Regions from separate parts of the Mus musculus genome. Here all the other regions are reported to be linked to region 4. Evidence: microRNA targets listed by miRTarBase, many of them from high-throughput screens and not tested one by one. Region 4 holds a microRNA gene; each other region holds the end of a gene's coding sequence.

Evidence for each region. Region 4 holds the annotated microRNA mmu-miR-10a-5p (UACCCUGUAGAUCCGAAUUUGUG, at 2,938-2,960, opposite strand). A microRNA usually pairs through its seed, bases 2 to 8, with sites in the 3' UTR of a target mRNA and lowers its output. Matches are read on the target gene's strand: a 7mer-m8 pairs with bases 2 to 8, a 7mer-A1 pairs with bases 2 to 7 and ends in A, and an 8mer does both.
Region 1: the mRNA of Med18 is a reported target of mmu-miR-10a-5p. Seed matches in the 3' UTR shown: 7mer-m8 at 3,638-3,644 and 7mer-m8 at 3,289-3,295.
Region 2: the mRNA of Cercam is a reported target of mmu-miR-10a-5p. Seed matches in the 3' UTR shown: 7mer-m8 at 797-803.
Region 3: miRTarBase lists Nip7 as a target of mmu-miR-10a-5p. Seed matches in the 3' UTR shown: 7mer-m8 at 3,643-3,649, 7mer-m8 at 2,007-2,013 and 7mer-m8 at 1,851-1,857.
Region 5: the mRNA of Marchf2 is a reported target of mmu-miR-10a-5p. The part of its 3' UTR that is shown has no 7-base or 8-base seed match.
Region 6: miRTarBase lists Ooep as a target of mmu-miR-10a-5p. Seed matches in the 3' UTR shown: 7mer-m8 at 542-548.
Region 7: the mRNA of Man2a2 is a reported target of mmu-miR-10a-5p. Seed matches in the 3' UTR shown: 7mer-m8 at 3,660-3,666 and 7mer-m8 at 1,746-1,752.

The regions. Positions count from the first base shown.
Region 1 is chr4:132,455,746-132,459,821 of GRCm38, forward strand. It overlaps Med18 (mediator complex subunit 18), which reads right to left. Exons shown (of 3, transcript NM_026039.3): 3 at 2,984-4,076. The coding sequence ends at 3,815. Among named protein-coding and RNA genes, the nearest start is that of Med18, 6.1 kb to the right of the region's middle.
Region 2 is chr2:29,881,616-29,885,691 of GRCm38, forward strand. It overlaps Cercam (cerebral endothelial cell adhesion molecule), which reads left to right. Exons shown (of 12, transcript NM_207298.2): 12 at 81-1,225. The coding sequence ends at 333. Among named protein-coding and RNA genes, the nearest start is that of Odf2, 6.3 kb to the right of the region's middle.
Region 3 is chr8:107,058,200-107,062,275 of GRCm38, reverse strand. It overlaps Nip7 (NIP7, nucleolar pre-rRNA processing protein), which reads right to left. Exons shown (of 5, transcript NM_025391.2): 5 at 1,345-3,899. The coding sequence ends at 3,780. It overlaps Tmed6 (transmembrane p24 trafficking protein 6), which reads left to right. Exons shown (of 4, transcript NM_025458.2): 4 at 452-792. The coding sequence ends at 682. Among named protein-coding and RNA genes, the nearest start is that of Nip7, 3.4 kb to the right of the region's middle.
Region 4 is chr11:96,316,070-96,320,145 of GRCm38, reverse strand. It overlaps Mir10a (microRNA 10a), which reads right to left and starts at 2,981; the gene lies at 2,872-2,981. It overlaps Hoxb4 (homeobox B4), which reads right to left and starts at 1,879. Exons shown (of 2, transcript NM_010459.7): 1 at 923-1,879; 2 at 1-116. The coding sequence starts at 1,376. It also overlaps a transcript of Hoxb3 not described here.
Region 5 is chr17:33,688,316-33,692,391 of GRCm38, forward strand. Marchf2 (membrane associated ring-CH-type finger 2) reads right to left here. Exons shown (of 5, transcript NM_001252480.1): 5 at 3,190-3,838. The coding sequence ends at 3,680. Among named protein-coding and RNA genes, the nearest start is that of Hnrnpm, 4.9 kb to the left of the region's middle.
Region 6 is chr9:78,373,782-78,377,781 of GRCm38, reverse strand. Ooep (oocyte expressed protein) reads left to right here. Exons shown (of 3, transcript NM_026480.3): 3 at 91-879. The coding sequence ends at 227. Among named protein-coding and RNA genes, the nearest start is that of Ooep, 2.8 kb to the left of the region's middle. RefSeq lists an enhancer at 2,372-3,736 and cis regulatory regions at 1,303-4,000, 1,303-4,000.
Region 7 is chr7:80,348,009-80,352,084 of GRCm38, forward strand. It overlaps Man2a2 (mannosidase 2, alpha 2), which reads right to left. Exons shown (of 24, transcript NM_172903.4): 24 at 1,089-3,843. The coding sequence ends at 3,691. Among named protein-coding and RNA genes, the nearest start is that of Hddc3, 6.9 kb to the left of the region's middle.

The sequences.
Region 1 (4,076 bases), not on the chromosome of region 4:
CATGTGAGGATGTGCTTGTAACTGCATTTTTGTACACTGATTTTCACATGCGCGCTTGCGCAAGCGCACACACACACATACACACAATGTACTTTAAGAAGATGAGGCTGGGCATGGTGGTGCATGCCTTTAATCTCAGCTCTCCAGAGGTGGAGAGCAAGTGGATTTCTTTGAGTTCAAGGTCAGCCTCACTAACTCAAAAGGATGAAGCTAGGCTGCGTTTCATGAGACGATGCCTCAGAATAAAAACAGAAACAAACGAAAATAAATTTAATTTTTGTGGTTACATGTGATAGAGAATAAAAGTATAATTTAGGACTGGGTATAGTAGTTCATGCCTGTAATCCCAGCCCTCTGGAGGTCAAGGCAGAAGGACTGCCTCAAGTTCAAGGCTGGCCTGGGCTGGAAAGGAAGACTTTGTCTAGTACAGAATAAACACAGAGATTAGAAACAGAGGGAGGCTACACACTAAGGAGCAGTGTCTGAGTGATTGTACTAACACACAGTGGCAGCCTGTCCTAGTTTGCTTTGTTGCTGTGGTAAATACCATGGTCCAAAACAACCTGGGGAATAAAGAAAGGGCTTGTTTCATCTCACAACCCCCCAGGTTACAGCCCCTCAGTGTAGGAACTTGGAGGGATAAATGCAAGCAAAGACTGTGAAGGAATACTTTTTCTCCTCCTCCTTCCTCTTTCTCTCCCCTCCTCTTCCTCCTGTTCCTCCCTTTCTCTTCCTCCTCTCCTCCTTCCTCTTTCTCCTCTTCTTCCTTTCTCTTCCCACCCGCTCCTTTCTCTTTCTCCTCCTCCTCCTTCTTGTTATTGTTTCTCAAGACAGGGTTTCTCTGTGTAGCCCTGGCTGTCCTGGAACTCACTCTGTAAACCAGGTTGGCCTCGAACTCAGAAATCTGCCTGCCTCTGCCTCCCAAGTGCTGGGATTAAAGGCGTGCGCCACCATGCCCAGCTCATTTTGGGGTTCTTTAAAAAACTTTTTTAGACAGTTTCTCACCTGGAACTCTGTAGAGAAGGCTGGCCTCGAACGCACAGAAATCTGTCTGCTTGTCTCTTGATGCAAAACCCCACTCCCACCTGGGTCTTGCTATATTGTCCAAACTGGATCTTAAGTTTCTGGACACAAGTGTTCCTCAGACTTCAGCTTCTCTGGTTGTTGGGACAAATGAGGACAAACTATGCCTTGCTTGATAGTCTGTGTGTTTGTGTTTGAGTGGGATTAGTCAGGGAACTTGTACATGAGTGGTATTAGTTATAGATCTTGTGCATGCTAGCCAAACAGTCTATACTGGACTACAATCCATTCCTCTGAATGACAAACTAAGATCCAAAGTGAGTTATGGCCAGGCTTGTTGGGCACAGGCATTTAACCCCAGCACTCAGGAGGCAAGAGGCAGGCTGGAGCTATGTGAATTCAAGGCCAGCCTGGTATACAAAAAGTTCTGGAACTTACTCTGTAGACCAGGCTGGCCCCAAACTTAGTGATCTGTATTTCTCTGCCTCCTGAGTGCTGGGCCACCATGCCTGGCTGAGAAAAAAATAAATTTTTTTAAGTTCCAAAACCTAGCAACCACAGTGTACAGGCAGTGGTTTGTAGACCTCCACAGCTACACATGCAGGTGTAGCAAAAATAGAACCATCTCTGGTATTTTATTGGTTTTAAAATGTTCCATCAACAAAAATGTCCTTTTCCTCTGTGTGTGTTTGAGTGTGCCTGTGGTTTGAGACAGGATCTTGCTGTCGCTCACGCTGACCTGGATTTTGTGATCCTCCTGTCTCAGCCTCCCCATGCCCTGATAACAGGATGGCTCAAATATACTACTTTCATGAAAGATTAAAACATCTCTACAAAGAATAACTGCAAGGGACCGGGGCTGTAGTTCAGGGGATAAAACATTGCTAAGCAAACACACAAACCTGAGTTCAGGTCCCGGGCAGCAGCTGGAGGCAGTGACTGGCTTTTGCTAACCCTGCTGCTGCAGGGAGGGTGGAAAGAAGAAAGCTAAGGGGCCCCTGGCTGGTGTCTAGATGAAACTGAGCTGCAGGCTGTGAGAGATCTCATCTGGAAAGGAAAGGTGGATAAAGGAGCTTGCTGCCAGGCCGGACAACCTGAGTTCCACACTCAGGCCCCGGATGGTGAAAATACAGAACTGCTGGAAGCTGGCCTCTGATCCCATGTGCACAGAAGCACATGCACACGTGAGACCTAAAGAAATAACTGTAATCTAAAACAGAAGGTAGATGAGCCAACAGTAAATTTCACTAAGGCTGTTGGTAGGATCCTGGGTAAGACTCCTATAAAAAAGAAAGTGGACTGAAAGTTTTCCTGGCAGAAAAAGAAAAAAAAAGAAAAAGAAAAAGAGAAGGAGAAGGAGAAAAAGTATCTGACTTTTCAAATCTAAGACTATGAGCCTTTTGTCTTTCTTCTCTGTGTAGCCTTGGCTGTCTTGGAACTTGCACTGTAGACCACAGGTCTGCCTGCCTCTGCCTCCTGAGTGCCAGGACTAATGTTAATGGCATGCACCACCAGCACATGGCCCTTTTCTTGCCTGAACATGTCTGTGTACTGAGTGTGTGCCTGGTGCCTGTGTACTTCAAAAGAGAGCATCCAATCACCTAGAACTGGACTCCTACGGAAGGTTGTCAGCACTCAAGGATGTGTTGGAATTAAGCCTGGTCCTCTCTGCAGGAGCAGCCAGTGCTCTTTAGCAGCTAAGCCACCTCTCCATCACCAGCTACTTGAATGTTTTTGATTACATTTGTGTGTGGGTGTGCACACATGTGGGTGCAGGACTCAACCAATCCTGTGGAGAAACAGGACGGCAACAGGCAGGAGTCGGTTCTTTCTTTCTCCCATGTGGGTCCTGGAGAGGCCCCCACAGCATACACAATAACAACAATAGTAAGACAGAACTATAGCAATATAGAAGTAGACTAGGAAGGAGTTAAGACGAGTAAGAATCAGAATCACAACTGAGTCTTTTCAGTCTTTATTACCACACAATGCTGGCTCACACCACCATTGTAAACCTTGTATATCAATGGCAAAACAACACAATTTAAAACATATGAAGAAAACAACAAATAAATAAAGGAATAAAAAATGTTTCTCTAAAAAAAACAAAAAAAAAACAAAAAAAAAAAAACAAACAGCCGGGCTTGCGTGTTATCGCACGCCTTTAATTCCAGTACTCGGGAGGCAGAGGCAGGTGGATTTCTGAGTTTGAGGCCAGCCTGGTCTACAAAGTGAGTTCCAGGGCAGCCAAAGCAACACAGAGAAACCCTGTCTTGTATTGAAAAACAAAACAAACAAACAAACAAACAAACAAACAAAAAACAAAAAAAAAAAACAAAAAAGAAAAGAAAAGAAGAGAAAAAAGAAAAAAAAAGCAAAATATTATGAGTTGTTTTTTGACCTTTCCTCTGAAAAGCTAATTTATTCCAGTTCCCTCTTTTTGAGTGGAGGGAGGACTTGAACAAATCTCCATATTATCCTGGGTCTTTCATTGGAAAAGCCTATCAAGAAGATGAACAGTCAGGTTTAATAAGGACCTTGCAGGCACTTAGGCGGGAAGTACAGGGTCCTGAGTTCCAGGGTAGCTAGTTTATGTAGTGAATTCCATGGTAAAACCCTGTTGCAAGAAAAAAGAGACATTACCAAGTGAAGGAAACAGTTGAAAGGAACCAGGTCTCGCCATCATCTTCTGGAAGGAAGTGGGCCCGGCTGGCAGCAGTACCTGGGCTACTTTCGAAGTCTCTCACCTCCCAGGTGGGGACAGGCCTAAAAGGCCGACAAACTTTCTTCATCACATCAGCCTTTTGGGGTCTATTTTTTCCAGGTGAACCAGAGGTTTGAGCTGCTCTGCAAAGTTCCTCATGTCATCAGAGACCATGTCCTGCCCAGCCGGGGCGACAACACTTAATTCCACAAGATAGGAGAGGGACAGGGCCTCGGTGCTGTCCGTGTTCCCTGGGACCAGGATTCGGAAAATCTTGTACACCACAACCTTCATGATGCCCTTCCGAAACAGGTGTCCTTTGGCGACAAACTCATGGTCCATGCGGAAG
Region 2 (4,076 bases), not on the chromosome of region 4:
GGAGGTCAGAGGTACTGCAGACAGTCAAGGCCCCAGCTCTGGGTTGGAGTCCACTTAAGAGTTCTTCTCTCACTTCACAGTGACCAGTACAAAGCATACTTCTGGCCTCGGGACCTCCAAGCCTTCTCAGCTAGGCCTCTGCTTGCCTCCCCCACCCACTATTCGGGAGACGCCGAGTGGCTCAGTGACACAGAGACATCCTCCCCCTGGGACGATGACAGTGGTCGCCTCATTAGCCAGACTGGCTCTCAAAAGGCCCTTCGTGGCCCCCACCTGCACCTGACTGGCAGCAGTGGACACAGCCTCCATCCTCACCACAGGGATGAACTGTAGGTGAAGCTGGACCTAGAAGAGGACCAGTCCACGGCCCGGGCTTCCCTTCTCAGCTCTCTCCTCCTCCCTCCTCCTGCTTCTCTCCCATCCCCAACCCACCTCTTGTCTACTTCTCTCTGATTTCTCTAGCTTTGTCTCTGTCTTGTCTCTGTATCTGCCTCTCTACCTGTCTGTCTCTCTCCATAGCTGTTGACATCTCTACATCTGATTTTCCTTTTCTTTCTCTTGCCCCCTTGACCGCTAGCCCATGAGGTCCAAGTGGGAATCCAAATGAGCGATGAGAGGGGAGAGGAAGAGGTGACAGCCAGCAGAAATCTGACTGTTATTTTGGGCTCAGCTAGTTTTCTGTCCTCTGGACTCATTCCAAGGGAGGAGAAGCACTCAGAGACAGAGTCCACTCCTGAAGGTCTCAGAGTGAAGACACTAAGACCCCCAAGACTTTTTTTTTTTTTTTTTTTTTGTGACAGGGTTTTTCTGTGTAGCCCTGGCTGTCCTGGAACTCACTTTGTACACCAGGCTGGACTTGAACTCAGAAATCCGCCTGCCTCTGCCTCCCAAGTGCTGGGATTAAAGGCGTGCACCACCACTGCCTGGCTACCCCAAGACTCTTGACTCTGCTTGCAAATTTAGAGCCAGTGGGCTCAGGGACAGGGAGGCCTCAGCCTTTGGGGTTTCAAGCTGGCTGGAGCCCAGAGTCCTGCCCTCTGAGGACCCAACTACTTTGCCTCCATCTACCTCCGCCTTGGTGATTCCCTCCCTGCCTCACATCTGGGGCCCATTAGCACCCTCTTTCCTGGTTGGTGGAAAGTGCAAGAAGATGGGAGGCATACCTGGTGCTCAACACGCAGTAGGCCTTCAATAAAAGCCACTTGCATTAGCATTTTATACTTCACTTAACAGCTGAGCCTCTTTGTGTCTCTCCAGGCCAGGGCAGGACACCCTCTGAGCTAGGGAGGGAGGGAGGGCAGAAGAGGAGGGGTCAGGCTATCAGGCAGTTGCTTCCTGGATGGACAGCCATGTTCCTTTGGATGGATGGAAGGTATAGCTCCTGAGAAGAATGAGCGCCTCTGTTCTGTGCTCATCTCCATCCAGCCTGGGGTCACACTTACACTCCTGCCCTTTGCATTTCTGCTGTGTCTGCAATCCTAGTTCTGTAAGAAGCCAAGTTCTGCCTCTGGAGAGCCAGGGTTCTGCTCTGACCCTAAAGAATAAGCACCAGCAGAAGTCACCAAGTGACAGAGCATTAACCTGGTGGGTCAGGGTGCTCTTTGTGACTTCTGGACCCACAGTGGAGAAGAGAGTATGGGAAATTTAAACTCAATCCTGTAGGCATACATTTTTTTGCAACCTGCTTTTAATAAGGGTCCAACCTCTCCTTTAGCCCACCACCCAGCAGAGGCAGTGGAAGAGAAAAGTCATTAGGATATGGAGGAAGCAGACCTGTTTACCAGTCCTTTGAGGGTGAGCTTGATCTTTGGGTGCAGTTCAGTCCCGTAGCAAACTCCAAATGCGACTCAGCAGCTGCAGACCAGTCCTCTAGGCAGGCACGAACCAGCAGCTACAGTCCAGCCTTTTCAGCAGGCAGACACCAGGCACGAACCAGCAGTTGTAGTTCAATCCTACAGAAACCACCAGGCTTGACAGTGGGCCCCAAGGGAGGGAGACTGCAGAAGTGGCAAGCAGCTGCAGGAACCTCATGCAGTTCTTGGGCGAGCTTCTCACAATGGCAGCATTACCAGAGGTTGAGCTCAACAAGCTATGTAAGTCGAACCAATACGTGCATGTCGTTAAGTGAAGAATAGTGAGGTGAGCAAACCGAACCACTGCTCCCCCTCCCATTGTCTGTGGGGTGGATATTTATGGTTCTTCATCAAGAGTCCTTTCGTGTGTCTGCTCCAGCAAAACACCCTTTCACCTGTGCGGCCCAGCAAAACATATGACATAACTACTAACTTCACAAAGAAACTAGAAGCGTCCACTCTACAATCTGGATGCTGTGGCCACTCCATCTGAGGTGGCAGAGATGTTAGAGGCTACTCCACATGCTTTTGCCCTTCTGTGTGGGAAAGGGGGACTTCTCTCCACTAGTCACAGAGGACCAGGTTCTGGGCCTAGCAGCACTTAGATGGCTGGAAGAGTGAGGGGAAGGGATTCCCTGTCTTGGTTGGGGCTGACTTAGCACCTGCTAGTGCAAACAGGTTATCTCCCTTAGAGGAGCTCATTTCCTACCTGTCTTCCATTCCACAGCAGCCCTTGAACATGAGTTACGTTAGCGAGCACCCAGACCTGGCAGAGTCCGCATAGTACCTCCTGAGGTTGCGCTGCCAGTGCACTGCAGCCCAGGAGAGAGAGGTTCAGGACCTGCCATAGCTCTGAGGACTCTGGGCCAGAGGTGAGGCTGTGATGTTTTGTTCTTCTGAGGGTGAAAATCTTCCTCTCTGGATGTCTGTAATCTAGAGCAGGTAACATTTTCATTCATCCTGTAAAATTTGATTAGCCTCTCGGGGACTGAGCAGGGGTGGGGGTGGGTTCTAAGGATTCAGCAGTAAACGAAACTGATGAAAATGGGCTGTCAGGTGGACCTGGAACCCCTGTCCAGCACACACAAGGTGTCTCCCATTACCAGTACTAAGGACAACAGATACCACAAAACAATGAGAGCCTGATGGTGGGGGCTGGAGAGATGCCTCAGCAGCTAAGAGCACTGTCTGCTCCTCTAGAGGACCTGGGTTCAATTCCCAGCACCCACACGATGGCTCACACTTATCTTTAACTCCAGATCCAGGGGATCCAACTTCTTCCTCTGACCTTGTACCTGCACTAATATGTGTGTGCATGTGTGTGTGTGTGTGTGCACACATGCACGCCCAAGTATACACACACACACACACACACACACAGACAGAAATCTTTAAAAAAATAATAAAACACAATAAACCTTATAAACAAGTAAGAAGTCAGATGTGGTTATGTCCTGGGCAGCAGAGACGATAGAATTGCAAGTTTGAGGCCAGCCTAGTTCACATATCCAGACCTGAGAATTTATGTTTTACTTTTTGTTTTATTTTGTTTTTCAAGACAGGATTTCTCTGTGTAACCACAGGTACAGAACTCACTCTGTGAGGCTGGCCTTGAACTCATAGATCCACCTGCCTCTTCCTCCCGAGTGCTGGGATCAAAGGTGTGTGCCACCACTACCAGATGATTTGTGTTTTTAATAAGTCTCCAAACTCTGCTGATGCTGTTAGCTCATGATCACACTCTGGCTACAGTACAGTCACTAAGCATAGCATCTATTCAAGGTTCATAAGCAGTGAGGGACAGCTCAGAGGATCCGAGAAGGGCAAACCTTGAGGGCCTGGGAGAATTTTCCCTCCTGGCCCCTCCAAGAAGACACAAAGGTACCAGGAAGAAAGAGCCAGTTCCACTCTGTAGCACTGATCGTCTCTCCCTAGGCTGTGGCAGCTGCAGCAGGGCCCTGAAGCAGGTGTTCCTGGAAACAACCTAATCAGGCCCTTGGGTAAATGGAGAAGCCTTAGCCAAGGGGAATAAGACTTCCCTCAGGCCAGAGTTGTGTGGTTGGGGCTACGACTGGAGTCCACAAAGACTCCTTGAAATTCACAGAGAAGGAAACTAACTACCTCATCCAGTCTGATGGATCATTTTTCTGTGGACTCTTGACCATGAGTTTTATTTTAGTCTTTTCTTTTTTCTTCCTCTCCTCCCCCTCCTTTCTTCTTCCT
Region 3 (4,076 bases), not on the chromosome of region 4:
ATAAACCTAACAGTCTGCAGGGACAAGGTATTGGTTAGGAAGGTGACGGCATGTGGAACACGCATCTCAATTGATAGTGGCTTATACAAGTAACCTCAACAGAGTAGATCAGGATTCAAAGTCACCCTTAGCTACACACTGAGTTTGAGGCCAGCTTGGGCTATGTGAGAAGTAGCCCAAGTGCTTACCTTGAATGTTCAAGGCTGCTGAGTTTAGGATGTGGGGAGTTTTGTGGGTACTAGGCAATCCTCCTTACCACTGGGTACATCCCAAGCCCTAACTATGCCTCCTAACTTTAAAACTACTCCACCAATTTTTCTCAAACAAAGTCAAAGTACCATGTATTACCAACTGCTGTAGCACTGTTTCTCAGACTCCTGAGTCACAGGTCACTTAGATCAGGGCAGGTAAGACCCAACAGCAGCCAGAGTGGCTTTCCTTCTTCCCACAGGACAGCACACAAAGGGTGGAGAACCAAGTTTTCCACATGTGGCGCTTCTACAACTATGCCAGGATGAGAAAAGTGGCTGACTTCTTCCTCCTGCAGTCTAACTACACCTATGTGAACTGGTGGTCCACAGCTCAGAGCCTTGCTATTGTTCTTTCCGGGGCCCTCCAGCTCTATTTCTTGAAAAGACTTTTTACTGCTTCAACTACTGACACAAAGAAGCCAAGATGCTAACATATAGCCTATTTGTCAAAGCTTTGATCAAATGGGCTTTGGAAAGTTATTGGGGGGGGGGTCAACTTATGTCCCCTTTCTCTTGTGTCCACCAATAAAGGCAAATGTTTAACAAAAAGTGAGTTCTGCTGCTGATCATTCTAAAATACGAATTAAGTGCTAAAAGCTAAAAGTACTGTTTATCTGAGGCAGGGTTTCAATATGTAGCCTTGGCTACTAGAACTTGCCGGGTAGACCCAACTCACCCCAAACTAAAGAGATTCTGCATCCCCACTGCTGGCAAGGTGTGTAACCCCATCCGCAGCCTAGAAACATCTTTATCCAGCTGTCCCTCAGCCTTCACTGACGCACGCCTTTAATCCCAGCAGAGGCAGGCGGATTTCTGAGTTCGAGGCCAGCCTGGTCTACAGAGTGAGTTCCAGGACAGCCAGGGCTACACAGAGAAACCCTGGAAGTGGGTTCAAGGATGAAGCTCCCTTCAGTAAGAGCACCTGCTTTGTATGCAGTTTGGGCCTCGATCCCTGGCACCACAGAAATCAGGGTGGTGGCTCTCAAATCTGAACTCTAGCACTGCAGAGGAAGCACTAAGATCAGCCTTAGGCAGTTCAAGACCATATCTCAAAGTACGTTAAAAGCTCTGAAAGAGTTGATACGGAGACAACTTTTTGGAGTTTAAAAAATTTTAATCCATTGTAGAGGACTACAAAGGTCAGCAATGTCCCCACCTTCAACCTTGTCCCAGGGATTGAACACAGCATCAGGCTTGGTGGCACATGGCTGATCCACCCTACCAGGCTGTCCACTGAGCTATCTTCTTGGCCTGTAGTGCCCTTCAACGGTTGGAAATATTTTACTTTATTTAAAAGATGTTACCATTGGAAACTGGTGTGGCGACAGACCTATAATACCATTACCTGAGAGGCTAAGACAGCCTGGGTCCCATAGCATTTCAGACCAACTTAGATATAATGTGACAAATGTCTCAAAAAATAAAAATGCCCCCTAAAACTGACATAACCTGATCATATCTTAAGAAACTGTTCTGCCGGGTGTGGTGGTGCATGCCTTTAATCCCAGCACTCGGGAGGCAGAGGCAGGTGGATTTCTGAGTTCGAGGCCAGCCTGGTCTACAAAGTGAGTTCCAGGACTGCCAGGGCTATACAGAGAAACCCTGTCTCAAAAAAAAAGAAAAAGAAATTGTTCTGAAGTTAGGCATGGTGGGGCACATTTTTTAAGGCCAGTATTTTGGAGGCAAACAGATCTCTGAGTTTGAGGCCAGCCTGGTCTACAGAATGAGTTCCAGGACAGTCAGGGCTACAGAGAAACCCTGTCTCAAAAGAACAAACAAAAACAAAACAAACAAAAAAAACAAACAAAAACAAAAAAAAAAGGGAGGTGGGGGAATTGAGCCTGGTATGGTAGTATACCCATTTAATCTCAGCACTTCAGAATCAATGGATCCTTGAGTTTGAGGCCAGCCTGGGTACATTCTAAGCAGAGATACATAGTCAGAACTTGTTTCAATTAAAAAAAAAAAAAAGTAACAAAATCATTTTAACACAGACAGGGAAGATGGCTCAGCAGTTCAGAAAGAACATTCTCTTTTAGAGGACTGAAGTTTGGTTCCCAACACCAACAATGGCCAGCTCACAACTGTCCTTACCTCAGGCTCCAAGGAATCCCAAGTGTTTTCTGCCCTCTGAGGATACCGCTACCCAAGCAGGATATACTCACACAGACACGCACGAACAATTTCCTGTTTTGAGACAGGATAACTCTATCCCATGCAGGATGCTTTACAACTGCTATTTTTTATTTATTTATTATATGTAAGTAAGTACACTGTAGCTGTCTTCAGACACTCCAGAAGAGGGAGTCAGATCTTGTTACGGATGGTTGTGAGCCACCATGTGGTTGCTGGGGTTTGAACTCCGGACCTTTGGAAGAGCAGTCGGGTGCTCTTACCCACTGAGCCATCTCACCAGCCCCTACAACTGCTATTTTTAATTCTGAATATCACTGTTACACTGATGACTGGAGGTGTTTTTTCAGTTTTGTGGGTTTTGGGTTTAAGACTGGCCAGGATCTCCTTATGTAGACCAGGCTGGCCTTGAACCTATAGAGCTCCATCTGCCTTTGCCTCACCCTCAAGCCCCCGTGCTGTAACTAAAGATATGCACCACCATACGGCAGGGTCATGGGTTTTTTCTTTTAACAAAGGAAGAAAATGAAGCCTCTCTAAGCAGAGAACTTGTCCACCACCACAGCTGGCAAGGGGCAGAACTGAGGCTTGAATACAGACGCTTCCACGCTATACCCCACTTAACACCAAGAAAAATAGCCAAAATGCACCTATTAAATTTATTAGGATAGCTTAGTGGTTAAGACCACTGCTGTCCCTGCAGAGGACCTGAGTTTAATTTCTGGCACCTATACGGTGGCTCACAACCAGTAACTCTAGTTCCAGGTCTGAAATCACCTTGACTTCCTTAGGCACCAGGCACATAAGCAGTGCACATACGTACATGCCAACAAAACACTCACACATATGAAATAACAAATATAAAACCATTAAAATTTATTAAATTCCATATGTAAAACCAGAGGCTCATATGGCCGTTTCTACCTTTAACATTAACACACAATAGAAAGTCCACTGTGCTATCATGAGCCTGGAAAACAGTGTTATCACAGATAACAGTAAGATGGCTCCTGTCCTCAGTGAAGTAACTTAGAAACCATCACTCAGAGCAAGTCTTCTGATCCAAACAAAGACGACGCAGACACAAAACAGAAACACTCTATTTACTCACACAAAACACTCTCAGGTTCTGGTTTGTCTGTTTTAGATTTTTGAGACAAGGCTCACTATGTAGCCCAGGCTAGCCTTGAACTCTCCAAGTAGCCTGAGCTGGCCTTATACTTGTGATCCACCTGCTTTTGACTCTAGAGGGCCAGAGACCCTGTTTTCACGCCATTTCTGTTGATAAGAACCCAAGTTGCGTATCTCAGTGTTGTCCAGATTTAATCTGATGGCCGCACACAGGAAACAAAGCTAAGTCCTCTCACACAGCAAAATGTTCTTGGAATGACCGTCCTAAGTCAGTGTCTCTTCATGGCGTACGTACTCCCCAATGTCTGCTTGGTGGAACACCACAATTGCCATGGGGTCCACTTTTCGGCAGTCTTGGGTAGACTTTGCTGCCACCCCAAAACCCTGGAATTGAAAGAACAGACATTCATTTATAAGGAAACAAAACAAAACAAAAACTATATTGAAACAGCTGTATCTTTGAGAACTGTGAAAGGAGCCAAGAAGTCAGTCTCCGAGCTGCTGACTGAAACTTCATCCTTTCCAGTGGGTACCTGGCATTTGCCGTGATGGATGGCTACC
Region 4 (4,076 bases):
CCGGCGGCGCGTCAGGTAGCGATTGTAGTGAAACTCCTTCTCCAACTCCAGGACCTGCTGGCGAGTGTAGGCGGTCCGAGAGCGCTTGGGCTCCCCGCCGGCGTAATTGGGGTTTACTGGACACACACAGAGAGAGAGGGAGAAAGAGAAAGTTTTATTGCCCCCGAAAGGGAGGAGGGAAACCCTTTCTTCCTTCCAGCTAACACCGAGCCTCCTGCTCCCACTACCTCATCTTGGAGGGAGGGGGTCGAAAAAGGAAGACCCGTGAAAGAAAAAAAAAAAAAAAACTCAAACTTTTGGAGGGCTGTACTGTTGTCCTTGTTGCCTGGGGGAGGGGCACTGTGAGGAATCTTGGAAAGATTTTCATCTCACTCTTTGGCTTGAGGACCCCAATGGCGTGGGGTAGTGGGAGGGGGTGTTGCCCTAGACCTTTCCCCGGCTTAGTTCCCACCCTCACTGCTCAGATTCCAAGCAGCGCCTTCCCCTTAGTAAAAACTTTTGCCTACTTCTCCAGCCAAGGTACCAGATTGGAAGAAAGGGGAAAAAAAAAAAAAAAAGAAATCCAGGAAGTTGATTCAACTCTGTGCTTAAATAGGGATTACCTCCTCCTCTTCCTTCTCCTCCCCTCCTCCCACACCCCTCCCCAACTTCCAACTTTACTGGGACTGCGAATCCCTGGCGAAAAAGTCGCTGGGAGAATGAAGAAGAGGATGACTTCAAAGGCGCAGGGCCCACTAGGCCATAAAAATTTATGGGCGATGTAATTATGTGGCTCTGAAAACAGGAGACCGTAAATCTCTGGCAATGGCGAGTTTATAGCGGGGACAATTGGCTTCCCCTCGCTCCCTCCCCCACATGCCTCGGAGGTCCCTTCACTGTAAAGCGCCGGGGGTGGGAGGGGAAGGGGTGCCCACGCACTCACCCGTGCTCACGTGAACTTTGCGCATCCAGGGGTAGACGACGGGCTCTTTGCACGCGGAGTGGGACGGGCTGGGATGCAGGGGGTTCTGGGCGCAGGGAGGCGGCGGGGGGCTGCTGCTGACCGCCTCGCTGCGCTGCCCGGGCTCCGGGAGGAGGGCCCCGGCTGTTGGCTGCACTGGAGCCCGAGGGGACAGCCCGGGCGGTGGCGGGGGCGGCGGGGGCGGCGGAGGTGGCGGGGGCCCGGGGTCTCGGCAGGCCGCGTAGCGCTGCACAGTGCACGGCGCCCGGCGCCCAAAGGCCGCCTCCGGCTGGAAGCCGCTCTCTCGCCTCTGGCCGCCGGCGTAGTACCCGGGCGAGTGGTCGCTGGGTAGGTAATCGCTCTGTGAATACTCCTCGCACGGAGGGAACTTGGGGTCGACATAGTTTGAGTTGATCAAAAAGGAACTCATAGCCATTAATTTCTGGGAATTGCCCACAAAATATACTAAAATTTATTCCGACCCCTGACTCGTTTTCCTGTTTCCGAAAGCCCTCCTACTTACTGTCAAGTGAACAAAGTTAGAGGCCCACGTGATCCTCCGAGCCAATGGCCACCCGGCCTGCGATTCCCGGATAAGGAAATCTGCTCACCCGGACCCTACTCCAGCCAAAGAGGTTTATTTCCCCTTCTCTACCCCTCCCCACCCACCCAACACCAGGATTTACATAGGGCTCCCGCGGGGAGACCCCCTCCTCGCCTGGCTTTCTCCACAACAGAGAGGGGTGATGAACTAAGAAAGAGTGAGCAGGTTAATTGGAGGGCCTGTTTGGGGGTGAGGGGGCTGGGCAGAGCACAAACCCTGCATCCCTCAGAAGTTGGGGCTGCGGGTGTAGCCCCCACCCCTGCCCTACCTAATCTCCACCAACCTTTCTCTGACTCCCATAGGGCCCCATCTCCTCCCCAGGATAAGAGGGAGCTCACGCACTAGGTGTCTGTGTGGGGTTTTAAGTGGTTGGCCGACCAGGGAGCGCCTTCTTGAAATGGGTACCCACTAGGTCATAGGGGCGCTGAGCTTGGGGCTTCTCAGTGCAGCCAGATGGGGAGGGGTAGGAGGTGAGTGAGGAGGCGTCGGGAGCTAGAAGGCGGGTGCGCAGAGGGACTTGTCAGAGATGAATGGAACCGCGAGCAGATCGATAGGAAATTCACGCACTAATTCGGGGAGACTTCGCCTTCCAAATCGCATTTAGCTGCACTATGAGCATCGGCTGTGTCCGTCAGTCTGTCCTCCTCAACACTCCCTCCCTTTAACCCACAAGGCCCAAGGTCAGAGGAACGGCTGGACTCCCTCCACTAAAGACAGAAGATACAATGAAACCAAACCAAACCCGCAAGTTCCTAAAACCAATTGAATAGTAATTTGCTAATTCCAGATTCGTCGAAGCAATGCTAACCAAGAGTTCTAATTGCCGCTAAAGCCGCCGCCTCTGTCAGTGTGGCAGAAAGAAATTTCACAACCTTGAATACTAAGTAAAGGAGCCCTAGCTGTGACGCCCCCACCAACATCACACGCACAAGAACACCCATGGCAACCTTATGTTTTCAGGGCATCTTGTCTTGAATTCAACGAAACAGCAATCTTCGCATCCTTTTAAAAAGCAAATTTCCTTTGCCTTTGCACACTGCAGCCTTCAGCAATCTTTTTTTCCTCCTCATGATTTCCAATAAAGCCCCCTGGACCCAGAATAAGAATAGGTAGGTTGGGGCTTAAAGATAAATTTTAAAACACCAGTAACATTAATCTCTTGAGTGAACAAGGACCCAAGCTTCCAGGGGTGTGCATGGGGACACCTCAGGTAGATGAGATTTCTCCCTCATTGGTTGAGGGAGGAAAAGAAAAGGAGTCTTCTTGAAGGCAGTCACTGGATTGTCCTCATTTAGAAAATAATCTATTTTTCTTCTGGGAAAGAATATGAGCGGAGTGTTTATGTCAACTACATATTCCCCTAGATACGAATTTGTGACCACAAAATTCCTTACACAAATTCGGATCTACAGGGTATATACAGAAGACAGACAGGTCTTCTTGGCCCAGGAAATTTCCAGTTCTCTTACTTTCCGTGCGTTCTTCTTTTGGGTGTGATCTGAATGTTTTCATTTTTATTTCGTTTTGTTTTAATTTTGAGATCTGGGAGCAGAAAAGTCACTGTGGGTCCGTTCTTGGGATTACAAGGGGTTTCAACTTTCTATTCAAAAAATAAAATAAGATTTTTTAAAAAGGCAGCTGTTGTGCAAAGGGACTCGAACCTCGTGGCTGCCGCGCGACTTTCGGTGGCGCATGAATTATTAGATGTAAACATTAGCTAAGCACAAAAGAAGGAAGGGTCATCCCGAGGCTGCCTCGAAGTCAGAATCAGGCCTTTCTGGGTGCCCTCGGCCCCTCCCCTCCCCCCATGACTTTTTTTTTTTTAAGAAAAAATACAAAACCCCAAATAGGTTCCTCCCTTGCCCCCACAGCCTTTAGTTTGTGATCAAACACATATATAGATATTTTCCAAAGCAAAGGGAGGAGGGAGAGGTGTCTGGGTGTGAAGGGGGTGTAATAAAAGTCCTTTTGGAAAAAGTGAATGCTAAAAAGAGAGAGAAAAACAGCTGTGAGGAAAAATGCTGGGAGACCAAACAGATGGCCCCCCCCCCCATATTTAATGACGGGCAATTCCGTTTACAACCTGAGAAGAAGATCAAAGGCAGTTCATTTCCGAATGAAGGGCAATGAGGAACCATAAAAGTTGCAGCCAGATGATGTGCAGGCCCCTCCCAACCTCACATATCCCCCCCATACCTCCTGGAGGCTGGAATAAGGGGACACCCCCCTAGAGGTGTGAGGAGGACCCCCCCTACCCACACCTTATCCCCAGGCAAGGATCCTCTGTCTAGAGGCTCACTAACTGGGCCCATCCACCTGCTTGGGTTGCTGGCTGTGTGGCCAAAATGGGATTCTGGAGTTTTTGGGTGAACTTCCTGAAGCTCCCACTAACATTTGACTTTTCTAAACTGAAAAAATGAGAAATTGAGGATCTGGAGTTTAAACTGGGAGAGCTGTGACCAGGTGAGGGCAAGTGTGTCCAGCAGAGTCTTTCTCACTATCACCACCGCTATAACACCCTAGGCTTGGGGG
Region 5 (4,076 bases), not on the chromosome of region 4:
AATCCCAGCACTTGGGAGGCAGAGGCAGGCGGATTTCTGAGTTCAAGGCCAGCATGGTCTACAGAGTGAGTTCCAGGACAGCCAAAGCTATACAGAAAAACCCTGCCTTGAAAAACAAACAAATAAAAAAAAAAAAGAGTTGCCTTGGTCATAGTATCTGTTCACAGCAGTAAAATCCTAAGATTGTACAATTGAGTTACATACATGGCCCTGGTATACTGTCAAGTTTTTATTATTATTATTATTATTATTATTATTATTATTATTATTATTAATTTGCTTTTTGTTTGTTTTATTGTTGTTACCATTGTCGTCACTGTTGTTTAAGATAAAATATTTAAGCTGTTCTGGAATTCCCTATATAGACCAGGCTAGCCTTGAACTCAAAGAGCTCCTACTGCCTCTGCCTCTTGGCTGGGACTAAAGGTATATGCCACCACACATGGCTTATTTTACCTTGAGACATGATCTCATTATGAAGCCATGGGAAGTCTGGAATTTGCTATGTATTTCAGGCTGCCCTCGAACTCACAAAGATCTGCCTGCCTACCTCTAAATCTGTGTGCTGGATTAAAGATATGCACCACCACAAAAGGCCCTTTGTGATTTATTTTATGTGTACAGGTGTTTTGCCTACCTGTGTGTCTTGGTACCATGTGTATCCTTGGTATCAGTTGGATCCCCTGATACTAGAGATACAGATGGTTGTGAGCCATTACATGGATCCTGAGAATCAAACCCAGGTCCTCTTCAATAAAAGAGCAGTCCAGTGCTCTTAACCACTGAGCCATTTCTTCAGCACACACACCCACCCCCAACTTGGTTTACTCTTAAAGTCATTTGTTGCTGAGTATATCACTCCATGGTAGATCATTTACCTAGACTATGTGAAGCTCAAATTCAATCCCCAGTAGCATTTAAAAATATATATGTATATATAAATAACATATATATATTATATACATAGGGAGAGAGACAGAGAGAGAGACAGAGAGAATATATGTATTGCCAGGCATGGTGATGCATACCTTTAGTAATTACAGCACTCAGAAGACAGAAGCAAGAGGATCTCTTTGAATTCTAGCCTGCCAGAGCTACTCAGAGACTGTGTGTGTGTTTCTGTGTATGTGTGCACTAAAATTATATTAAAAACTTAATTTATTTAATGATCCTGGGAATCTAACCCAGAACTTTGTCTTTGTTATTCAAATATTCAATCACTGAACTATATCACCAGCTAAAATAACTTTTTTGTTTGTTTGTTTTGGTTTTTGGTGGTTTTTTTTTTTTTTTTTTTTTTTTGGTTTTTTTTCGAGACAGGGTTTCTCTGTATAGCCCTGGCTGTCCTGAAACTTACTTTGTAGACCAGGCCGGCCTTGAACTCAGAAATCTGCCTGCCTCTGCCTCCCGAGTGCTGGGATTAAAGGCGTGCGCCACCATACCCAGCTTAATATAACTTTTAAAAAATCATTTATTGTAGCCAGAGAGATGATTCAGTGGTTAAAAGCACTTGCTGTTCTTCTAGAAGACAGAGGTTTTGTTTCTAGCAGCCACATGTCAACTAACAACCATCTCTAACTCCATCTAGTTCCAAGGAATCTCTTGGCCTCTTCTGGCTTCCTTGAGCACTGCATACACATGGAACACTCACTTATATGCAGGGAAAACAAAACACTTTTACACAAGAATAAAATCTTTACAAAATATTTTTAAAAGATCATTCACCATAAATCCTGCCCAGGCCAGTGGCGGGGGTGGGGGGTGGGTTGTCAATGGATGAGAGCACTTGTGCAAACCTGATAGCCTGAGTGTGATCCCTGGAGCCCACATGAAGGTAGGAGAGACTCTGCTCTACTAGTAAGGTTTCTTCTGACCTCTTCCAGCAAAATAACAATAATAATAATAATAATAGTTATTATTATTATTATACATTTTAACATGATAATAAAAAATAAGCTAACCTCATTTCTTGTTCTTTTATTTTTTTCCCTCATATATGTGCAAGTGCATGCCTGTTCAAACCTGTGCATGTGCATGCAGAGGCCAGAGGCTAATGTTGGTGTCTTCACTCATCTTCTCCCCCTTATACATTAAGGCAAGGTGTCTCAACTGTACTTAGAGCTTTGCCCATATGGTTAGTTTAGCTAGCCAGCTTGCTACTAGGATTTCCTAGAGGACAGAAACACACACACTACTGATCTATATAGGTTATAGAGATGGGAAATTTTCATGTTTGTGTAGCAAGCCCTCTAACTACTGAGTTGTCTCCCAAGGTCCTGAATCCTAGTCTTTATTTAAAAAAAAAAATACAAAAACAACAACTCTGACTTTATTTTTTCTTTAGGCTTCCATGCTGGTTAGATTTAACTGTCAACTTGACAGAATCTAGAGTCCCCTGTGAGATGAACCTCTCGGGGGATGACTATGGGGATCATCTTGATTGTACTGATTGATATAGAAATACCCAACTTAATTATGCCTTGATTTCCCTACCATGAGGGGCTGTACCTGTAGCTGTGAGCTAAAACTAAGTGCTTTCTCCCTTACATTACTTTTTTAAATTAGATATTTGCTTTATTTACATTTCAAATGTTATTCCCTTTCCTAGTTTCCTCTCCAAAAATCCCCTATCCCCTTCCCGCCTACCCCTGCTCCCCAACCCACCCACTCCTGCTTCCTGGTCTTGGCATTCCCCTATACCGGGGCATAGAACCTTCACATGACCAAGGGCCTCTCCTCCCATTGATGACCCACTAGGCCATCCTCTGCTACATATGCAGCTGGAGCCATGAGTCCCACCACGTGTTTTCTTTGAGTGGTGGTTTAGTCCCAGGGCTAAGTTACTTTTTTTAAAAAAAAACTGTATTTTATGTGTATGAGTATCTTGCCTGCACTTATGTATTGCACCATATGTGAGCAGCGTCTATGGGAGCCTAAAGAGGCACTGGATCCCCTGAAGCTGGAGTTGGAGACCGTTACAAGCTGTGAAGAGCACTAGGAATTAAACCCCAGTCCTTTTCTCGAGTAGCCAGTGCTCTTCACCCCTGAGCCATCTCTGTCCCTCCACTTCAGGTCCTTTATCATAGCAATAAGAGAAGAGAAGAAAAGAAGCTTCATACAGTCCCCACAGAACAAGCCAAGCATTTTAGACTTTGTGCCCCCACAGAATCACTCGCTTGGAACAGCTTAGAAACATAACTGATGCGTCCATATTAGCCAGCAAGGGCTCCTTTTATTCATTCAGGGGTGGGTTTTTGAAATGCAGTGCAACTTTATAAGATTATAAGTCAAGAGTGCCAGTAAAGCAAGCCAGCTAGGTGCAGAGTAACGCAAGAAGCTTGCTGGAACCTTCTAGTCCAACGGGCGCCCTTGACACCAGCGCTAAAGCTGCTGTGCAAAAGGTGTCAAACAGATCTCAAAATGAGACAGAGGTGCCTACTCCATCCAAAGCTCAAATCTGTCCATCTGTGCTTGTCATATACAACAATGTGCAAAACAAAACCCTTGAAAATATGTTCACACGGGATCACAGAGCAGGCTCTGCTGGCTGTGGCTACGGGCCTGAGAAGCATCATAGCTGTGCATGAAAAGTCAGGCAGCCTCCATCTTTCCAAATGCCAGCTGCATTGCCATCTGACTCTGGTCTGTCTACTACCTCTGAGCCCTGCCAGCCAGGCCTTCACACAGGGGTCTCCTCTGCCACCTTTTTTAAGAGTCCAGTAGCCAGCAAGGAGTGATGTGGATCCTCGGAGCCATCTGCTTCCCGAATCTTCAGGCGGACTTTCTGATTTGTCTTCCTCCATTCCGAGTACAGCTGGCAATGGTATCGGAAAGAGACCTGCGGGGGCAGTCCTGCAGTGGGTGGGGAGGTAGAGACAGGCCTCCACCCTGGGGAGGAAAGGGAGCCCTGGCATTTGTCATGGGCCAAACCTAGAAGCAGTGCCACCTCTGGGCATTTCCTGAATACTATGCATACACTCACCCATTCGGTCCTCTGAGGATACTCTGATACGCTCCGAGTCCTGTAAACATGAGGGATCTACCACCTTGATCCCAGGAGGGAGCATGACTCTAAC
Region 6 (4,000 bases), not on the chromosome of region 4:
ACCAGTCTTCCCAGATTCCAGGTCCAGAAGCCCTTCTCTTTAAAACTCTGCGCCCCTCCCGCCTGACTGTTGGTGTTGATCCTTTTCCAGCTGTGAAGGTGAAAGAAGTTGAAGAGTTCTTGAAAATTCGTGCCTCCTCAATCCTAAGCAAGTTAAGTAAGAAAGGGCTAAAACTGGCTGGCTTTCCGCTTCCGCTGGAGGGAAGAGAAACACAGATGGAGTCTTAAATCACTACACGTATTTTCTTACCCGCCTTCACGAGCACCTCCTGTTTATTTTTCTTTGCAAATAGCAATTTGTAGAACTATTCCAATATAAAAAATTTTTTTTGGTATGCTGTTGGTTTGATCACATACAGTAAAATTTATAAACACTTGAGTATTCAGTTGATGGTTCGGGGAGTATGTAGGTTGTATTCCTACGGTTTCTAACAACACTTCAGTCTGGCCCTCAAGAATGGCACAGTTGACTTAAAAGTGGGCCCTAACTCCTGTGTCAAGCAAGTTTTTTTTTTTTGTTTGTTTTGTTTTGTTTTTTCGAGACAGGGTTTCTCTGTGCAGCCCTGGCTGCCCGTGAACTCACTTTGTAGACCAGACTGGCCTCGAACTCAGAAATCCGCCTGCCTCTGCCTCCCGAGTGCTGGGATTAAAGACATGCACCACCATGCCTGGCCCAAGCAAATTATTTTAAGTTACCCAGTAGTTTGGGAAAAGGGCATCATTAAAATGTCAGCTCTTGATCCCTTTGTCCTTCCTTATTGAGACAGAATATCTATGTCGCCCCGACCGTCCTGGAGTCTCCTATTTAGACCAGGCTGGCCTTGAACTCCGATCTACCTGCTTCTGCCTCCCAAGTTCTGTGATAAAGGTGTGCTCCACCATTTCTGGCTACCCTTTTGTACTTTTTAACCTACTCCAGTTAAGGCAGTAGTCTCAACCTGGGATCAGAATATAATCCTGTATATCAGATATTTACATTACAATTCAGAAGAGTGGTCGAGTTATGAAGTAGCAAAGAAATGTACGATTGGAAATCAACACAACGCGAAATGTATTAAAGGGCCTAAGCATTAGAAAGATTGGGAACCATTGATTTATAGTGTGCAAGAATTCACTTGGGAGCTGGGCAGTGGTGGTGCAATGCCTTTGATCCCAGCACCTGAGGCAGAGGCAGGTGGATCTCTTGAATTTAAGGCCAGCCAGAATTCTGGAGAATCCTTGTACCAGGAATGGGGTTGGACAGGAGAATTCACTTTGGAAGGGCCTCAAAACAATGTCCTGGGCCCCTTCTCCAGTGATTCCCCGTGAGAGGATACATTAATTTGCAGCTCTAACATGCTCAGGATGCTGAAACATGACTTTGGGGCAATCATTTCTGCTCAAGGTTGCTAAGCTGTTACTATGCTTCCTGTTACCTGGGCCCCACCCCAGGAACTCCGGTTTTCTCACAGAAATTTGTCATACTTTTTTTTTTCTGGTGTGAACTTGATTTAAAAAAAGTCAATACCGTTTAAGCAGATTGATCATCATTAGCAGATTTATGAATAGGTTCATGCATAAAACTTAAAACTTTTTAGTAACTTCTGGACAAAATTCTATGTTTCTACCAGAATTTGTATTTATTAGCCTATACTTGAGCCCCCAAACTCAGGACCACAGGCTATGAGTAGCATATTTTCAGATAAAGCTTTGCTGTTTTTATTTATGTGTAAGGGTGGTTTTGCCTGTATCTATCTGTATGTCTGTATGTGCACCACGTGTGTGTCTGGTGCCTGCAGAGGCCAGAAGAGAGCATCAGATCCCTCCGCAACTATTGTTAGCTTCCATGTGGGTGTTGGGAATCAAACTTGGGTCCTTGGAAGAGCAACCCGATGCTCTTAATCACCAGGCCATGATTCCACTTCACAGATAGAACCGGCCTCTTTTTTTCCTTCCTCCCCCCCCCTCTCTCTGACAAAGGCTGTTTTTGGTTTTTGTCGCTCTCTTCAGAGACCCCAGACGAGGGAGGGCATCAGATCCCATTAACAGATGGTTGTGAACCACTCTGTGGTTGCTGGGAATTGAACTCGTGACCTCAGCTCTTAACCTCTGAGCCATCTCTCCAGCCCCAGAGCCTTTCAAAAGGGGCTAGAGTGGTGGCTCAGCAGATACAAGCACAAGTCTCAGAGGAAAAAGGGATGCAATGAATATAAAATTAAGTCATTTCATCACTATACCTGTGAACATGCACTCCTAAAGAAAATGTAAACAAAGGTGTGAACCTGGGGAAGATCATGTGATGACCAGAGTAGACCCAGACACTAAAGCAGTGACAATTCCATTTTGGACTTCTAACTCTAATTACAGGGACTCATTTCTGTTGTTTAAACTGTCTGGGTTATTTTGTTGCGATAGCCCAAAGAAGTTAACACATTTAACAGATCTGTGCTGGATTCTCTTATCCATTTGCCAATATTCTGTGCATGTGCACCCATACACACACACACACACACACACACACACACACACACACACACAGACTTGCAAGGAGAGTCCAGAGGTTAACTGATGTCTGCTTCAATCTCTGTACTTTTATGTTTTTGTCTGTTTGTGGTTTTCAAGAATAGCTTTCTTTGTGTAGCCTTGATTGTCCTGGAATCCTATCTTTAAATCTGTGTGGCCAGGGAACTCACCTGCCCCTGCCTCCTGGAGTGTTGGAATTAAAGGTATGGGTCTCACTCCTTAGGGAGTGGCCTTGGATGTTGGGAACTTGCTCTGTAAACCAGGCTGGCCTCAAGCTTTGAGATCTTCCTGCCTCTGTCTCCTAATCCTGAGAGTAAAGGAGGGGCCACCACACCATGCTCCATTGTAGTTTTTTGAGTCGGGGTCTTTTGCTGAACCTAGACCTCACCTATTAGGCTAATTAGTCCAGCTGGTAAGCACCAAGACGCCTCTATTCTCTGCTTTCTCAGCACTAGGGTTACATACAGGTGTGGCCTGGGTGCCTGGCTTTTTAATCAAACGCTGGAAAAATAAACCCAGTTCTGTTTTTGTAGCAAGTTCTATGCCTACTGGCTGCCCCCACCCCCACCTCCTTTGATTAGCCTCTCCCTCCCAGGTGCGGGGAGGAGGCTAGGAGATTGAAATGTACTCTGCCTGCAACTTGATAAATGGCAAAGAATGACCTTAAATTCCAGCTCCTCGGACCTCTACCTCCCCAGTTCTGGGATGAGGAGTGTGGCCCACCATTCCTGTTCTGCCCTGCGGATATTGAAAACAGGCAGAGTGCTCTGACATTCTTTTCTTCTCACTTAAGGGCCAATGTAAATTATGCATTAGCATTATGCCAAGCACCTAATCTGAGTGCTTGGGACCTAAGCAGTTGGCTCAGCAACGAGAGGGAGGTAATAGAACAGAAGCAACAACTCCATGATGCAGGCCTAGCTGTGCCTGCACTTTGTCTTACAACTGCTGTAAGGGGGTGGGGGCGCGGCGGGGGCAAGGGCTCAGCGCATCTCATGGCACCCATGGGGATGACTGAAGACAACCCTGGAGCCGTTTCCTTCCTCTCTATGGGCTCGGATACAGGTCTTCGTGCTTGGCTGGCAAGCTCTTCAGCTGCTGAGCCATCTTACCAGACCCTCTTTTTGTTTCTGAGCATGTGTAAAGATTTTATTTGACCAAAATAACCTGTAGTGGAGGAACTAGTAAGACAATAGCATCCGTTTGAAGATGCGAAGAGCCGAGAGAGAGACATGGGCCATCACATATGCTAAAATGGACTTGCCAAACTGAACAACTACACACATGTACACACACTTTTCTACTGCTACATTTTTCATGTAACTTATAGAGCTGCAAAACTTTTAAATCCAGTTGTGTCTCAGCCACTATGCTGGTTGCAACCAGGTTTTGAACCTGATACAACTCAAGGTACCTGACTAGAATAGCCACAGCTTGGAAAAGTTTTCCAGGGAGCAACAGTAGCTGCTCCACCCACAAGCCAGGTGCCCTGGGTTCTA
Region 7 (4,076 bases), not on the chromosome of region 4:
TTATGTTTTCCTCTTTGTGTTTGTGACAGCTAGTGGCTTTTTGCTTGTTTGAGATGGAGTCTCAGTGTTGCTTGAGCTGGCTCTAAACTCCTGGGCTCAACAGACTCCTCCCCTGTCTCCAGAGTAGCTGGACTGGAAGTGTCTGGCTCCCTAACCACCATGACAGCAAGCTAAACTCTTCCAGCTCGGGTTAGAAATGCTGTCTGCCCAGGAATTCCTACTCCTCTTCATGCCCTGGGGAAGGTAGATCCGGACCCTGTCTGGGCCTGACGCCCTGCAAGATGGTGAAGTTCCTCACATTTGCCCGCCTTTCTCTCTGTGCCTCCAGCTGGCCACTCAATCCTCTCCTCCTTATGGAACTGGATGCGTCTCAGTGAGGGAGTCCTTCTCTTTCTGGTGAATGAGGTTGTTTTGTTGTATCTTGGTTCCACTGTAGACTGTTAGCCTTACTGGGGAGGCATCCATCCCTGAGCTCTGTGGACAACAGCTGCTGCTTACCTTAAAACAGTACGCACTCACTGTGCCATTACCAAGAACCGTATGAGCCAGGCACGGAGGCATGCACTTGTAATCCCAGCACTTGAGGGGCTAAGGCAGGAAATGCAGTAAAAATTGGAGGCTAGCTTGTGCTACCTGCCTGGGGGAAAGGGAGGGGAGGGGAGGGGAGGGGAGAAGGAAATGCTTTGGCTTTGGCCCTTATTCTCCCAAGGATTAGTTCAGAGGCTTTACCAAGAGTTGGCTTTTTTCCTTGATCCAGTTACATGTGGCCCTCTGCCACACATCACCTTAGCACCCAGACTGAAGAAACAGGCCTGCCTATCTTTCCAGAGGCAACTCTGCTGACGAACTTTTGAAAGGACACTGCTCTAAGTACTATTTATGTATGTAAACAGCAGCAGGGAGGGCATGGTGTGCATGCCTGTGAGCCTAGCCTGTGGGCAGCAGAGGCAGGAAGATTACAAGTTTAAGGCCAGCCTGGCTCTCTATGGCAAGTCTGGGTTAGTCAGGGATACATTGCAAGACACTCCCAAGTGTGTGTTTGTGATTAAAATTTGTCCTGTCAGACAAGTAACTTCACTGCACATCTCTGACCTCCAAAGAATATTCTTTATTCTGCACAGTTCCCTATCATTTGATTACAAACCATATGGTAGCAAATAAGTCTTGCTGTAGGCGCAACCCCTGCTCTGTGCTAAGCGCTCCCCACTCTTCATCTCATTCCTGTCACCAAGACATGAATAGGAAGCCGTGTGGCCTGAGCCTGGCAACATAAACCATGGAGACCCTGCAAGAACTCAGCCTTGTCACTACTGAGTCTTTGGGTGCTGCTGGACAGACCCTAGTGACGTTCTCTGAGAAGTCAAAACACACTTTTCTCCAGCAGTGACAGAACTCACTGCAGACTCGTTTCCACCCACACAGCTGTATTGATTTAACCTGTTTCCTATAGCATGCTTTCAAGCTTTGTGTGTGTGTGTGTGTGTGTGTGTGTGTGTGTGTGTGTGTGTGTGTGTGTGTGTGTGTCAAAACCTATTTTTTAATGTTCCCCCATTATATATTAGGTTTCATGTTATGTCTAGAAAAGGGTTTCCTAAATCAGGTATAAAAATATTTTTTTCTGCTGGGCAGTGGTGGTGCACGCCTTTAATCCCAGCACTAGGAAGGCAGAGGCAGGTGGATTTCTGAGTTCAAGGCCAGCCTGGTCTACAGAGTGAGTTCCAGGACAGCCAGAGCTACACAGAGAAACCCTGTCTCAAAAAAACAAAAAAATTTTTTTCCTCCCAGGTGTGATGATGGCGCATGCCTTTAGTCCCAGAACTCAGGAGGCAGAGGCAGGTGGGGAATCTCTGTGATTTCCAGGCCAGCTTGGTTTACATAATGAGTTCCAGCACAGCCAGAGGTACATAGTGAGACTAAAATAATAATTAATAATAATAATAATAATAACAATTTTGTTGTTTGCTTTTGCTTTTTTCCCTCTAGCCCTAGGTTGTTTTGTTTTGTTTTTGAAACAGAAGTCTCATAGGTAGGTAGCTGTCTCAAAGCACTATGAAAATATCCACCTCCCCTCCCCTGCACCTGAAATCATATACTGAATTTCTACGTGCCTAGGTCTGTCTGACCTGACCTATCATGGCAGCTGAATTCACGCTGGCAGAAGAGTCCAAGTCGTTTGAGAACTCTGTTAAGACAGCTACTGCCTGTTGCCCGCCTTAGTGTCAGCAGCCGTTCATCACCTCGGCCATTCAGAACTACTTCACATCCTCAGCCTGTCACCTTCCAGATGAATGCCAGGACCTGAAGAGTTCCAGAAAGTGTCCAACCTCGTGGGAATTACACTGATGTTTATGGGTTGATTTGGGGAGAACCAGTCGTTACAGGGCAACTCACAGAATGCCTTGCTAGTTGACACACAGGTTTCTTAGGTAGCTTATGGTTTTAAAACAGTGGCAATTGTAATTCTTGTTTCCATCTGAAGTGTGGGTTAGTGACACCAACACACTGTGCCGCCGGGCAGTTTCTGACTGAGGGGATCAGAGCCTGCTCTGTCCGATGCTTTGGGCGCCTTCGCTTACTGGTGACGAGATCTTTATCCAGATTACGGGCTTCTTTCTAGTCTTGGCTTACTAAGTTTTCGTAAGGATGGAACTTTGCTTTTACCAACTCTTATCATTTATAGACAGATTCTCTATTGATTGAAGCAAAAACGAAGGTTCATCCAAGCACATGACCTCCTAATTTTGTCTCTGCCTTCCTCGTCCACACAGCGGGCAGGTAATACTTCTGCAGGTGGGATACGAGTGAACCTCCTCAGCCCACCAGGGGCCCCAGCACAGGATGCCTTCCCAAGACACCCAAGCACAGCCCTCTTGGAAACTCTGTTTCCATTTTAGAGAAAGGAATCCTGCCAGGATCCCCACAATGGGAACTCGTGGGGAGCCTGGTGTGTGAGATAAGAAAGCAGATCAGGGGGAGACACTCCCTACCCCTGTCACAGATCAACACCAAATGATCAGCTGAGAACTAGTGCTAGTGCCTGAAGTGTTCCGTGGCCTCTGGCCTGGAGTCTGAAGCAAGCCCTTCCTGCACCCAGCAGCCCCTAGCCAGGGCATGCAGGCCCAGTGGCACTCAGAGCAGGCCCAGTGGCACTCAGAACAGAGCCAGAGCAGAAAGCAGCAAAGCCTTTAGGCTCTTAGGAGAACCAGGGACTCCTTCCACGCCTTTACTCCACTAATAATGGGCGCCTACCCCTCTCCTCCCAGAATCACCCTGCTCCTGTACCCTCATACCAGCACTGTGGGGTCCATATGACCCCGCAGAGCAAGCTCATACCTGCAGTCTCCTAGCGTGAGGTTGTCCCCCAGCCTCCCTGACCTCTTCTGCTTGTCCCCACTCTTCCTACATCCCATTTTGGGAAAAGGATGAAGCCTGAGTTGTGCCCAGCTGGGTACCTACTCACAGCCTAGGGCAAGGGCCTCCTCTCCCCTGTCTCTCTGCCCCCGCCGCCTGCTGATGTAAGGACTGTTCCAAACGCAGGAGCAGCAATAGACAACGGAAGGGCACAGCACAGTCTGTCACTTCTGAGGCAGAGCGGAGGGGAGACTTGGTGTGGCTTGTCCAGCTTAGTCTTGGTGTTAGGAGGCAGTCTCTGTGGATGAACCCTGTCTTCAGGCCACAAGAAGCCCTGGCCTAGCCCAAGCGCAGGCGGAAGGTGCTGATCTCCATGGGCTCCAGAGAGATGTCAGTGCTGTTGGAAGGTGAGGCCAGAGGGTATAGCAAAGTCAAGGAGGTTGGCTGCAGGAAGGTCACATCCAGGCCATGGAAGAGGCTCCCCAGGGCTAGCTGTGAAGAGAAAGGGGGCAGGGTGAGCCGGGCGCTGCTAACAGTGGGTAAGTTCTTCCTTACACGGAGTGCTGCCCTTTTGGGTTTTTTCCTTTTTTTTTCTTTTCTTTTCTTTTTCTTTTTTTTTTTTTTTTTTTTTTTTTTTTTGAGACAGGGTTTCTCTGTATAGCCCTGGCTGTCCTGGAACTCACTTTGTAGACCAGGCTGGCCTCGAACTCAGAAATGCACCTGCC